2 linked regions of the Schizosaccharomyces pombe genome follow. The protein of the gene in region 1 interacts with the protein of each later gene in a biochemical or structural test. Each region holds a gene or a part of one and is shown on either strand. Other genes may lie near its edges.

Evidence for each region.
Region 2: the proteins of nse5 (region 1) and smc5 form a complex in vitro, tested with the Schizosaccharomyces pombe proteins (2 studies listed by BioGRID).

What each region holds. Positions count from the first base shown.
Region 1 is NC_003423.3:1,256,092-1,260,351, reverse strand, and holds nse5 (Smc5-6 complex non-SMC subunit Nse5), read right to left. Parts: upstream 2,450-4,260; coding exon 1,283-2,449; 3' UTR 1,160-1,282; downstream 1-1,159. Other genes in the region: AP-3 adaptor complex subunit Apm3, read left to right, coding at 1-216, 265-1,081; prf1 (RNA polymerase II-associated Paf1 complex protein), read left to right, coding at 2,966-3,054, 3,105-3,278, 3,326-4,260. UniProt on the Schizosaccharomyces pombe protein: Acts in a DNA repair pathway for removal of UV-induced DNA damage that is distinct from classical nucleotide excision repair and in repair of ionizing radiation damage.
Region 2 is NC_003424.3:5,224,989-5,231,696, forward strand, and holds smc5 (Smc5-6 complex SMC P-loop ATPase subunit Smc5), read right to left. Parts: upstream 4,806-6,708; 5' UTR 4,766-4,805; coding exon 4,713-4,765; intron 4,645-4,712; coding exon 4,479-4,644; intron 4,430-4,478; coding exon 1,418-4,429; 3' UTR 1,191-1,417; downstream 1-1,190. Other genes in the region: mitophagy receptor Atg43, read right to left, coding at 249-983; DASH complex subunit Dad3, read left to right, coding at 4,838-4,915, 4,953-5,135; mek1 (meiosis-specific serine/threonine protein kinase), read left to right, coding at 6,152-6,308, 6,349-6,708. UniProt on the Schizosaccharomyces pombe protein: Acts in a DNA repair pathway for removal of UV-induced DNA damage that is distinct from classical nucleotide excision repair and in repair of ionizing radiation damage.

The sequences.
Region 1 (4,260 bases):
TCATGATATTATGAGACGCATTGTGGATGTAGTTAAAACATTTTTTGGTGGGTTTAATGCTTCAAAGGTCGAGAAAAATGTTTGCGTTATTGTCCAGCTATTAGCTGAAATGATTGATTATGGATATGCAACTTGTATGGAACCAAATGCATTGCAGGACATTGTACCACTCCCTAGCTTTATGAATAAGTTTATGGCAGTTACTGGTCTACAAACGTATGTTATTTAGTTTTCTGTTTTTGCAGTGCTAACCGCATGATTTAGAAATACACCGACTCTTGCAAGAGATACCGTTCCTTGGAGAACAGCTAAAGCAAAATATGCAACCAATGAATTTTTTATTCATGTACTTGAACGCGTATCAGCCGTTTACCAGCCTAACGGAAAACTTGCTTTTGGCACAGTTAAAAGTGATATGGAATGCAAATGTCAAATATCTGGTATGCCTTTACTTTTGCTGAGTTTGAGACCCGGCACAAAACTAGGGAATGTTCGGTTCCACCAGTCAGTCAATTTAAAAAGATGGAAACAACATCCGGATCAGATTGAATTCATTCCACCGGACGGAAAATTTACATTAGCTTCTTTTCAAACAGACTTTGCTACCCAGAAATCTTTGCCTGTTGTTGTTGAAGCAAAAAATAAGTTGGATGGAAGGTTCGAAGTACGTATTCGAAACACCGGGAAAAAATCCGTTGAAAATTTAAAAATCCTAATAACTATTCCTCAAGCTCTAAAGAGCGTTACGGTTACCGAGGGAAATTATATTTTTCGTGCTTCCAAGTATACTCATATGGAAGAAGGTATTCTGGAGTGGTCGGTAAAAAAATTAGCTTGGACATCCCCGGCCTTAGTGTTGACAGGATTCCTGGCCCCCTTAAAGAAAGATGCCAATTCAACCGAAGAGTCAAGTAGCTACTCTAAGCTTGAGCACCTTGATTTACAATATAAACTTCAAGGATCAACCCTTCATAATTTTAAAGTAGAGTCATTGAAGATGCTTAATCATCCAGATAAAAAATCTTATAAAGGGGTCAAGCATACAATTATTGCACAAAATGTTTCATTTCGTTTTCGGTAATAATTAATTTACTTTCTATCTACCCGTTTGTTTATTATATATTATTCATATAAATTTCATTTTCTTAGTTATCACTAATGATTATAATAATTATTTTCCACACAAAGCCTCATTCATTGAAACGATACATATAGTCTATATATATTAGGATACACAATTAATGCCAAATGACTTCTGTTAATTTGTAGTTAAATTATTAAGTTAAACGATTTTATCCAAGGACAATTTTTTTGAAATATCTAATAATACAAGCATGTCTTTGAGTATTGCCATTGGTCTATCAATACCAACTAATTCTGTTTGTTGATACATTGTGTATAACTGCTTCAACGTTGTGTAAAATAGCTCTTTATCAAAGTTGCGATCACTTTCACGAAGGGCCGAACCCAAAAATGAGACCCATGCTCGTAGATGTAGCTTCTGTCTGATTTTGTTTTTCGGAAGGGAAGTGGGTAAAAGTTGAGTTAGCTGTTTAGTAAACTCACAACGTGTATGGCGTATGTTAATTCCAATACCTATTCCTTTCATAAGTATATATTGGCTCAGGCAATACCGGAGATTGGAGGCGCCTAAGTTTCCAAAGAAAAGATCTTGTTGTTTCGCATTCAGTTTTGAAAAACGTTCGTCGAGTTTGCTAAGAAAATGAAAAGCGTCTGTCAGATGTACAACAAAAAATCTTCCCTTCGGAAGCATAGCCCATATAAGGCATAAGAGTTTGGCACCTAGGTTTGCTAGTCTTGATGTTCCTTCAAAACTATTTGAACCTCGACTTTCTGTTTTAGCAGGTGCTTTGGACATACTTGTTGCAAAAGGTGATTCCATTGTTTGCTGGGGAAGAGTGAAACAGGAGAAGCAAATTCTGATGGCATCTTGAAGTTCACACAAATCTTCTCCCATGTATTTTTTCATCAACGCAGATCCGTTTTCCTCAGCATCGATCTCTAATATCCTTAACCATATGTCCATCAAGGACATCCAACGTTCAAGGTCAGGAGGACGAGAAGACATGTATGCAATTAGATCCCAATAATCAACATCTTGGGTAAATAAGCATTGGTTGGAGAAAATCTTCAGATAATTTTCTTTAGGCATATCGTTGTCCGATAGATCATTTTCAAATGACCATGCGTCAAAGTTGATTTTGCTTCTGTTCTCAACCACCTGCTGTAATATCCAATTACAGCTTTCTTGAATATTAGAAGAGGTAGGATATTCTGGGTGGACTAGAAGAGTTATGCACATTCGTATATAACAAGCTGGAATTGGTATAGAGGTCGTCGATAGAAGATATTCTAAAACATCTAATGATTTTGGCAACAAGTCTTCTTCAATACAAAGCTCTATTATTGCCTTTAGAGCCGAGTTCATTTTGAAATGGCGTAAGCAATCTTTGCTACTTTATATGTAAAAGAAGCCAGATATGGAAGAGATATCTTATTTCTTAAAACGATTTTCTTTGTAAAAGAGCATTTAACATGTGCCCTATTTACAGTCTTGTGATTATTATTGAATGGTTTGATTCACGAATTTTATATTGTAACAAAATGCAGAATTCTCAGTTTGAAGTTTTTACGCGACAGAAGAAATATATTCAAAAAGAGGGAAAGAGGAGGACCCCAAATGAGCAGTATTTTAAAAGGAAGCTTTCAACGATAAGGTTTGTAACCAAGGAAGACAACATCTGCAAAAATTATTTCGTAAAAAAAAAATTAAAAAAAAAATCACTTTTCAAATTATAAAAACATTATTCTTTTAATGTACTAGCAGATAGTACCTTTGAAAGCTAGTAGATAAAAGTTTCGCTGCTGTTATGAAATTGGTGGAGAGTCCTTGGAACCGTTATTAGTCAGGTATCTAGCTAATCTGATCCTGTCCTCCACCAAGATGGCCGACTTTCAGGATGAATTGTTGGCATTAGCTGGTATTGATGACTCAGATGTTGCTTCAAACCGTAAAAGGGCTCATGATGATTTGTAAGAAAGCAAATTTATCGGATTGACCTTGCTAACAAAACATATTTTAGAGATGATGTGTTGAGCAGCAGTTCAGACGAAGACAATAATGAAAATGTTGGACAGGATTATGCGGAAGAGTCTGGAGGAGAAGGAAATGAGAAGTCGGAAGACGAATTTGAAGAAAAATTCAAAAACCCGTATCGTCTAGAGGGCAAGTTTAAAGATGAAGCAGACAGAGCAAAGTACGTTGATTTTTACATTTTTCATAAAGTTGTCTAACCAAATAAAGGATAATGGCAATGACGGAAATTGAGAGAGAGAGTATTCTCTTCGAACGTGAAGAAGAAATTTCAAAGTTGATGGAAAGGCGTGAATTGGCAATTCGCCTCCATCAGCAAAATGCTCAGTATATGGCGCAATCTACTAGAAGGTCTACTCGTGACAAGCCTTTAACTTCAGCAGCCGCTGGCAAACGTGATAAGCTTACTGAGCTGAAAAAGCGCCGCCAGGAACGTTCAGCTAGAAGCGTCTCTGAAAGAACTAGAAAAAGGAGCCCTGTTTCCGATTATGAAGAACAGAATGAGTCGGAGAAGAGCGAAGAAGAGGAAGGTTACTCTCCCAGCTATGCTGAGGAAAAAGTTGAACAAGTTTCAAAAGATAATGCATCCGCCAATTTGTACGATTTAAATGCAATTCGTCTTGGGCGTAAACATGTCGCGGAGTACATGTATCATCCTATCTTTGAGTCCACCGTCACTGGATGCTTTGTTCGGGTTAAAATTGGTGAGCGTGATGGACAAGGTGTATATCGCTTATGTCAAGTCAAGGGTATTTTAGAAAGCAGAAAGCCGTATCGTGTTGATGGTGTTTTAACTAAAGTTTCACTGGAATGTTTTCATGGTCGCTCGAAAAGAGTGTTCGATGTCAACGTCTTATCAAATGAGCCTTTTTCCGACCATGATTTCCAACGATGGCATCACCAAATGATGGAAGATAAGCTTTCCATGCCCTCTAAAAATTTTGTACAACGAAAGCTGAATGACCTCAGGGATATGAGTAAATACGTTTTAAGCGAAAAGGAGGTTTCTGATATTATTAACAGGAAGAAAGAGTTATCGCGTGTTCCTTCGAACATCGCTGCTGAAAAGACCCGTCTTCGTCAAAGGAGACAAGCTGCTTATGTTGCTGGTAATGCAGAATTGGTCAAGGAGATTGACGATCAAT
Region 2 (6,708 bases), on another chromosome or scaffold:
GTTGTTACCCAAGAATTGAGACGATGCTCGGTTGGCAAACCTACTAGAACACATTTGCTTTAATTTCATTAATCTTTAAAAAAATCATTTGCCATGAAAGTGTGCTAGACAAAAAGGGGGAAATGACTGGTGTTAAAAAAACTTATAAAATTCATATCAATAGAATAGGGCCATTACAAAGGAAATAAGAAAACTAAAAAACTGATGAGAGCAATTGGATAGCTCTATAACACTTAATCTAACGTGGATTAATCCTTGAAGGTAGAAAACAAGCCCAGATTCCGGCGAAGCGACTGGCCAAAGTGAAACCCTTTCTCTTGGAGCTTTAAGAATTGGAAAATATGGCGAACAAAAACCCACATCCCTCCGCTTAAAAATGGATATAGAACGTGATCACGAAGAGTAATTAATGCAACTAAAAAGGCAGACCCATTTGCACGCTGAATAGATTGGAGATATGACTGTTGGAATCGCAAGTCCGGTATTGGGGGAGCTGTAGGAACAGTATATTCGACAGCTTCACTGTGATCCGTACCAGAGCTACTAGGAGATATCACTGTTTTTCCCTCGAATATAGTGGGAAGCTCTGCCTCTTCGACGGCAGATTCTGAATCCTCAGTTTCCCAATTACTGCTATCATCTTCTTCTTTACTCTGGAGCAAACTAAGAGAACTTGTTGAGCTCTCTACAGCACCAAGTTCATACTTGTTATGCAACGTTGAGTTCTCAGGAATACTTTCGTTCACGTCTATCTTCTTTAGTTGATTATTGATAATTATAGTGGATGAACTCAAATGTTCCATTCGCAGTGGAGAAGACGCGTATCCTGAATCTCCATGAGCACTTCGAATGCCTGATCTTTGCAAAGCGTCTTGACTGGAGCCTAAGCTGATCAATTCGTAATCTTCTTCCCACGAACTAACGTCGCTGGTTTTGTTAGAATCAGAGCGGGGAATTGGTATTCCTTTGCTTTCAGAAGACATTAATAAAGCTTCTCTAAAATCAATGTCTAATGAACAGAAATGGGTAAGCACAAGAATGATCCCAATTCTTTGTTGTTTACGTTAATATGGATTCCCGATAGCGCCACATCTACGGTGTTGCGCGATAATTGTATTACACAAAACTACGTTAAGGGCACATGTATCTTTTGAATAAGTTAAGCAATAAAGATATAACATTTTAAATGTCAGGATGCTGAAAGCAATAATTAAAGATAATGATATTATTAATTTATTAAATCTAACGGTCAAATTTTCGGTGACTCTAAGGAACGAAATGACTAACGGGTAACTTCGTATGCAAAATTTTAAAACTCATAAAATAAATTCTTTAGTAAACAAAACACCATCGGACAAAACAAATATCAAAAATTAAGAAAAAGTATGCCAACAAGACAAATATGGTAATGTAGCATTTATGACGAAGAAATGAGTGCGGACTTCTTTAACTTTTCAAAATAGGTAGAAAGGGATGTTCTAAAAGTTGCTGGTAACCAAGCACCATTACAAATACATAGCACTTTCAAATTTCGATGGTATGTCAAATCTGGTAATAACTTTGGAGTGACTAAGAAGTATTGTGAAACAGCGTTGTCACACACTGAATTGACGATATGCCTATGCACAACTCGTTCATTTCGAGGATCCATTCCTTGATTTATTTCATCAACTATTCGAAACGGAGCAATTGCCAAACCTTGTAAAGATAATAAATACATTATAGTAGATACAGAACGTTCTCCACCAGATTGTCGTTGACCCGTAAGTTTTTGAAGTCCTTCTTCCTCTCGAAATTGTACTAAAATATCGATATACCATTTATCATAATCGTCGGATTTCCCTAGTCGAACTTCTCCAGCATATCCCATTCCACTCATTCCTTTAGAAAATCTATCGCTAATACATTGAACATTCTCCTCTAACTTACTAACCCAATCCTCTTTGATTGAGTTCATCTCGTCTTGGAGCTCTTCAACGGATTGATCAAAGTCTGACATTTTCGATTCTAGTTCCTCAATTTCTTTTTTACGCGCATCATATTGTTCCATAACGTAACTATTAACATTCATAAACTTCAGTTTCGTTTCTTCGATGCTAATTTTGTTATCCACTTCCGAACTAGTAGCAAATTCTTCATTTAATTCAGTTATTGCCGTTTGTCTGTCAGATGATTGTGTCTGCAATGAATCAACCACTGAACCGTACAAGGACATAGCATCCTCCCTTGCTGAGGCTAACTTATCGGTAATATCTTTAAGACGATCTTGTACTTCTGTCAATCGAGCGTTGACTTGGTTGGCATCCATCTCGTGTTTTTCAAGTTTGTATTTCGCTTCTATGACATTAAGTCTACTTCCCAACATCTTCTCGAAATTATTCGTAGCTTTAATTGAATTCTCCTTAACTTTTAACACCGAATTCATAAGAGCTTCGAAGTTCTCTTTCCTGATATCTTCATTTTTTTCAATTTCAGCTGCAAATTGCTCAGGAACTTTCTCTCTTTGTCTTAGTAGAAGAGTTTGGTGTTCTATTCTTTCTTGTAATTGTTGCCATTCGTGAATAGGAATTAATTTTTCGTCACGCTCTTTTCGTAGAGTAGATAATATATCGTTTGTACGAGAAAGCAGCGATTCGTGCTCATTTACCTTTTCTTGTAACTTTCTTTCCTCATTCTGTAAATTTTCCAATTGAGAGAGTTGAGCATTTAGTTGCTCCTCCTTTCGCTTTACCAAATCCATCTCAACGTTCTCGGAAAAATATATACTGCGAGAAGGTAATGGGTCTGTTCGCCTAGTAATTTCTCTATCACCGTAAGCTGAACGAAAAACCAAGTGGATAGATGAGCCCGCCAAGTAAGTTTTAAGAACTGGATCCCCGTTAGCCAGACGAAAATTGTTTAACGCATTCACTGATGCGGGAGGTAGTTCCCTTTTTGCAATCGGAATTTGATGAATTTTTAACATATGGCACAAAGCAACCAAAACCACTTCTGGCCCCTCTAAAAAATCGATCACATATCCGTCAAACCCGAAAGACTGAAGCTTCTCACGAGAGCATGGAGGTTCAAAATCTTCTATCTTCTTTTTTCGTTCACTGGAGAATTCTCTTATAGTAGGAGTGTACTTAGTTTTTGAAGTGATAAGATCCATTAACTTTAGATAATCATTATAATTTGACATTATAAATGTTCGAAACGTATCCGTGCGAAAAAACCCTTCTATCAAAGCTGCAAACCCTTTTTCCTTACATTTCAAATTCATATAAATTGGGCCGTATGCGGGTGCTTCAAACGCAGATTCGTATTCCTTCAATAACTGATACGTCTGATAAGCATCTTCCCAGCCTGGAGCAGAAGACATAAAGTCTAGTTTCCTTTTCGTAGCATCGTTGTAGTAGGACAACTCTCTTTTAATGTTATCAAGGTCAATAAGCTTTTGTGCTTTCAATGTTCTGATACTACCTAGTTCATGAGAGCTCTCAAGTTTCTCGTTTTCATGTTGAAGTTTTTCCGCATTAACTTCTTGCATCTTTTCTTGTAGATCTTGAACACCGTTATCCGAAGGTCTTGGGCCTTGTCTTTCTGTTAATGACTTCACCGATTGTTGTGCTTCATTTAATGTAAGATTTGCATTCCGTAAAAGTGTTCGATTGGTATTAACCTTCTCATAAAGCTTTTTCTCGTTCTCCATGAAATTCGAAAAAGAAGCTCTGGCTCTTAAATTTGAGGTATTAAGTTCCATCGAAGCGGAGGAGTAATCGTTAAATGTATCATCTTTTAGTTTTAAATCCGAACGCAGCTCTTCACCTTTATCCAAAATAGGTTGAAATTCTTCCACTAGGTCTTTCAAATCCTTTTTTAATTTTTTTTTGTCTGCACGAAGTTGGTTAAAGACATTGGTTTTCTCTCTGTATATAACTAACATTTTAGCTAACCCTAGCATTTCGATGTATGATTTGATTTTTTCCCGTTCTTTAAATATATTGACTTCCTTCTCTAGTGCCTGTTGTCTATCTTTTAATGAATTTAATGTTGATTGTCCTTGGTTTTTATTTTGTAAAATTTCCCTTTCTCGTTTTCGTAAATCAATAAGCTTCTCATGTGCGGGAAGTAACCCTTCATGGTCAATTGCACGCTCAGTTTCCATCAGTCTAGAATAAGGATCAAGCTGAGCGAATTCTGCAACACGGTCTTGTGGTAAAAAATGACAAAGATTATTCAATTGTACATTGAAAGTATCCATTAGAGACGTTATTGAAGAAGTGGCACATGCTTCCCTATTAATAGAGAAAGAACTACTCTTATCCTGGCTTATTTGTCTCGTGATAGTAACCGTTTCATCGTCACGATACTTCATTTCAATTTCTATGGTTGCAGTGTTTTTGCCATACTTTATAAATTCACGGGCCTCTTTAGCTCTCCCAAGTAGCTAAATCGTTAATCAATTAAGTTATTTTTTATAATATTGAAAGACTTACTTTTGGGGGCCATCCCAGCCCAATGCATATTGCTGAAACAATTGTGCTCTTACCTGTCCCATTTGGACCGATAATCAAATTTAGATATGGACCAGGGAACAGTTCACAATAATCGTATGTAACAAAGTTCACTAATTTAATTCGTACAATACTTCCTAACGCGTAACTCTCGCGTGTTAAGATCATCGAAGTATAAAAAGCAGAAATACTAAATAGAAAAAAGCTATAACTTACTCTGAATACAAAGGATTACTTTTTCTTCGTTTCGAAGGCCTAAGGCCATCCATGGTGGAAGTAAGGAGGATTTCAGTCAACTAGGAGTTTGCTGAGAGCAAAGTGCTTATGCAAGGCAAGGTACAATGAGTTTAGAGGAAAAAAGAGCTCTCCAGAATCAAATTTTAGCTGAATATGCTAATCTTGCATCAAATTTAGAAACAGTAAGTCTTTTTTATTCAGCAGTTGGTTAATATTTAGCTTGTTAAGGTGTTACAGGACATGGTTTATAATCCCAGCAACAATATTCTGGACTCGCTAAGGGATTTAGAAAAGGAGGTTGGACTTGTATATACTCTTTACAAAGCTAGTGTTTGGGCGATTTTGGCAGACCTAGAAAATAACCAAGAAGGTAAAAGCGGCATGTTTCAAGATGAAAGTTGATAACGTGCTTGTTTGAAATTGAAAATACGTCAAACCGAACTATAAATTAAGCTTTAACTCTACTGTTGGTGCTTTTCGTGTGGTTTACTATGAATATTTGGAACTGAATATTTACCGGATAATTTTTCAATCACTTTTACAGAGAAAAAAATACATCCTACTTGGAAGAGTAAAAACAGGCACAAGATATAAGCTTATGAAGGTTTTTAAAAAGCACTTTTCGGCTAAAATGTCCAAGAAACGAATATGGGTATTGTTTTTAAAAAGTTGGTTAGATCACTTTTAATCAATTATCCAAAACAACCCTTTGGAAGTAGTCCGGCCTTAAATATTTCTAAACTATTACCCCGGAAACACTGACCTAATGAATCTTCCGATTAATTGCCTGTTAACATTTTATTAGATCATGCTGGATTCGAAAGTGTTTTCAAGCTTTCCTAAAAGCGTTATGAAAATGGGGTTGCATGAGAATCTGCAATGTTGTAAGCTGTTGATTTCTTAATCAAATAATAAGTTTCCTTCCTTGTTTTTTTCTAACCGTAATGGTTATTCATACTCAAATTTCTTCGTTATGAAGAGCAACTTACAATTGGGACTCGTTTTTGTCCTCGGATCATTAAAGTGAATACAGCGAGAAATTTTCTTCTGCTTGCATTTGACTAAAAATCATTTAAATGCCAGCAACTCTCTTCGAGATTGAAATCCAAAGTTTCTTCTGTTTGTACTAATATGGATTCTCATAATTTACTATATTTGATAAGCAATGAGGTTCATATTTTATTAATATACTTAATAGTGTCAAGCCCAATCCTTCAAAATATTGGCAAGTGTATGTTTTGGCATTACCAAATGACTTTGGTTTATAGTGGTATAACGTAATAATAATGGGTATTGTCTTTATACCGTTATAGACACTGCTTTTACGTTTTGATAGGCGCGTCTTACAAAGTATATATATATTTATTGCTTACGCGCATCACCGTTTTGCAAAGTGTATATAAAAAAAAGCAAGAACTATGGACTTTTTATCACATGCCATGCTTAGTCGATCTGAATCAACGCAAATTCTTTGTGAATTGAGTCAAATAGACGAAAGTACTATGGATCCTCAATATACTGAAGATGATGTTCTCGCTCGATTGTTTGTTTTTTCATCATCTTCTCCACAAACAGGTGTGTTCTCTTGTTTCAATTGATTTTTGACATATATTAGTACTGAATGTTAAGAAATATGAAGACGTTTCTGTTGGAAGGAGTAATACATGCAATTATCAGCTTCTGCAATTCACTGCCAGTTATAAGCACTTTAGAGTGTATTCGGTGCTAATCGATGATGATATGGATCCCCTTGTTTATTGTGAAGATCAGAGCTCTAATGGAACATTCTTAAATCATCGTTTAATTGGTAAAGGCAATAGCGTCCTTTTATCGGATGGAGATATACTCGATGTTCGGCACTGCGCTTCCTTTCTTTTCCAGCAGAAATACACTACTGATAATGATTTTCATCACGAGTATGCGGGTGAGAGATTTAACATCACTCAAAGACTATTGGGAATTGGTGGCTTCTCGC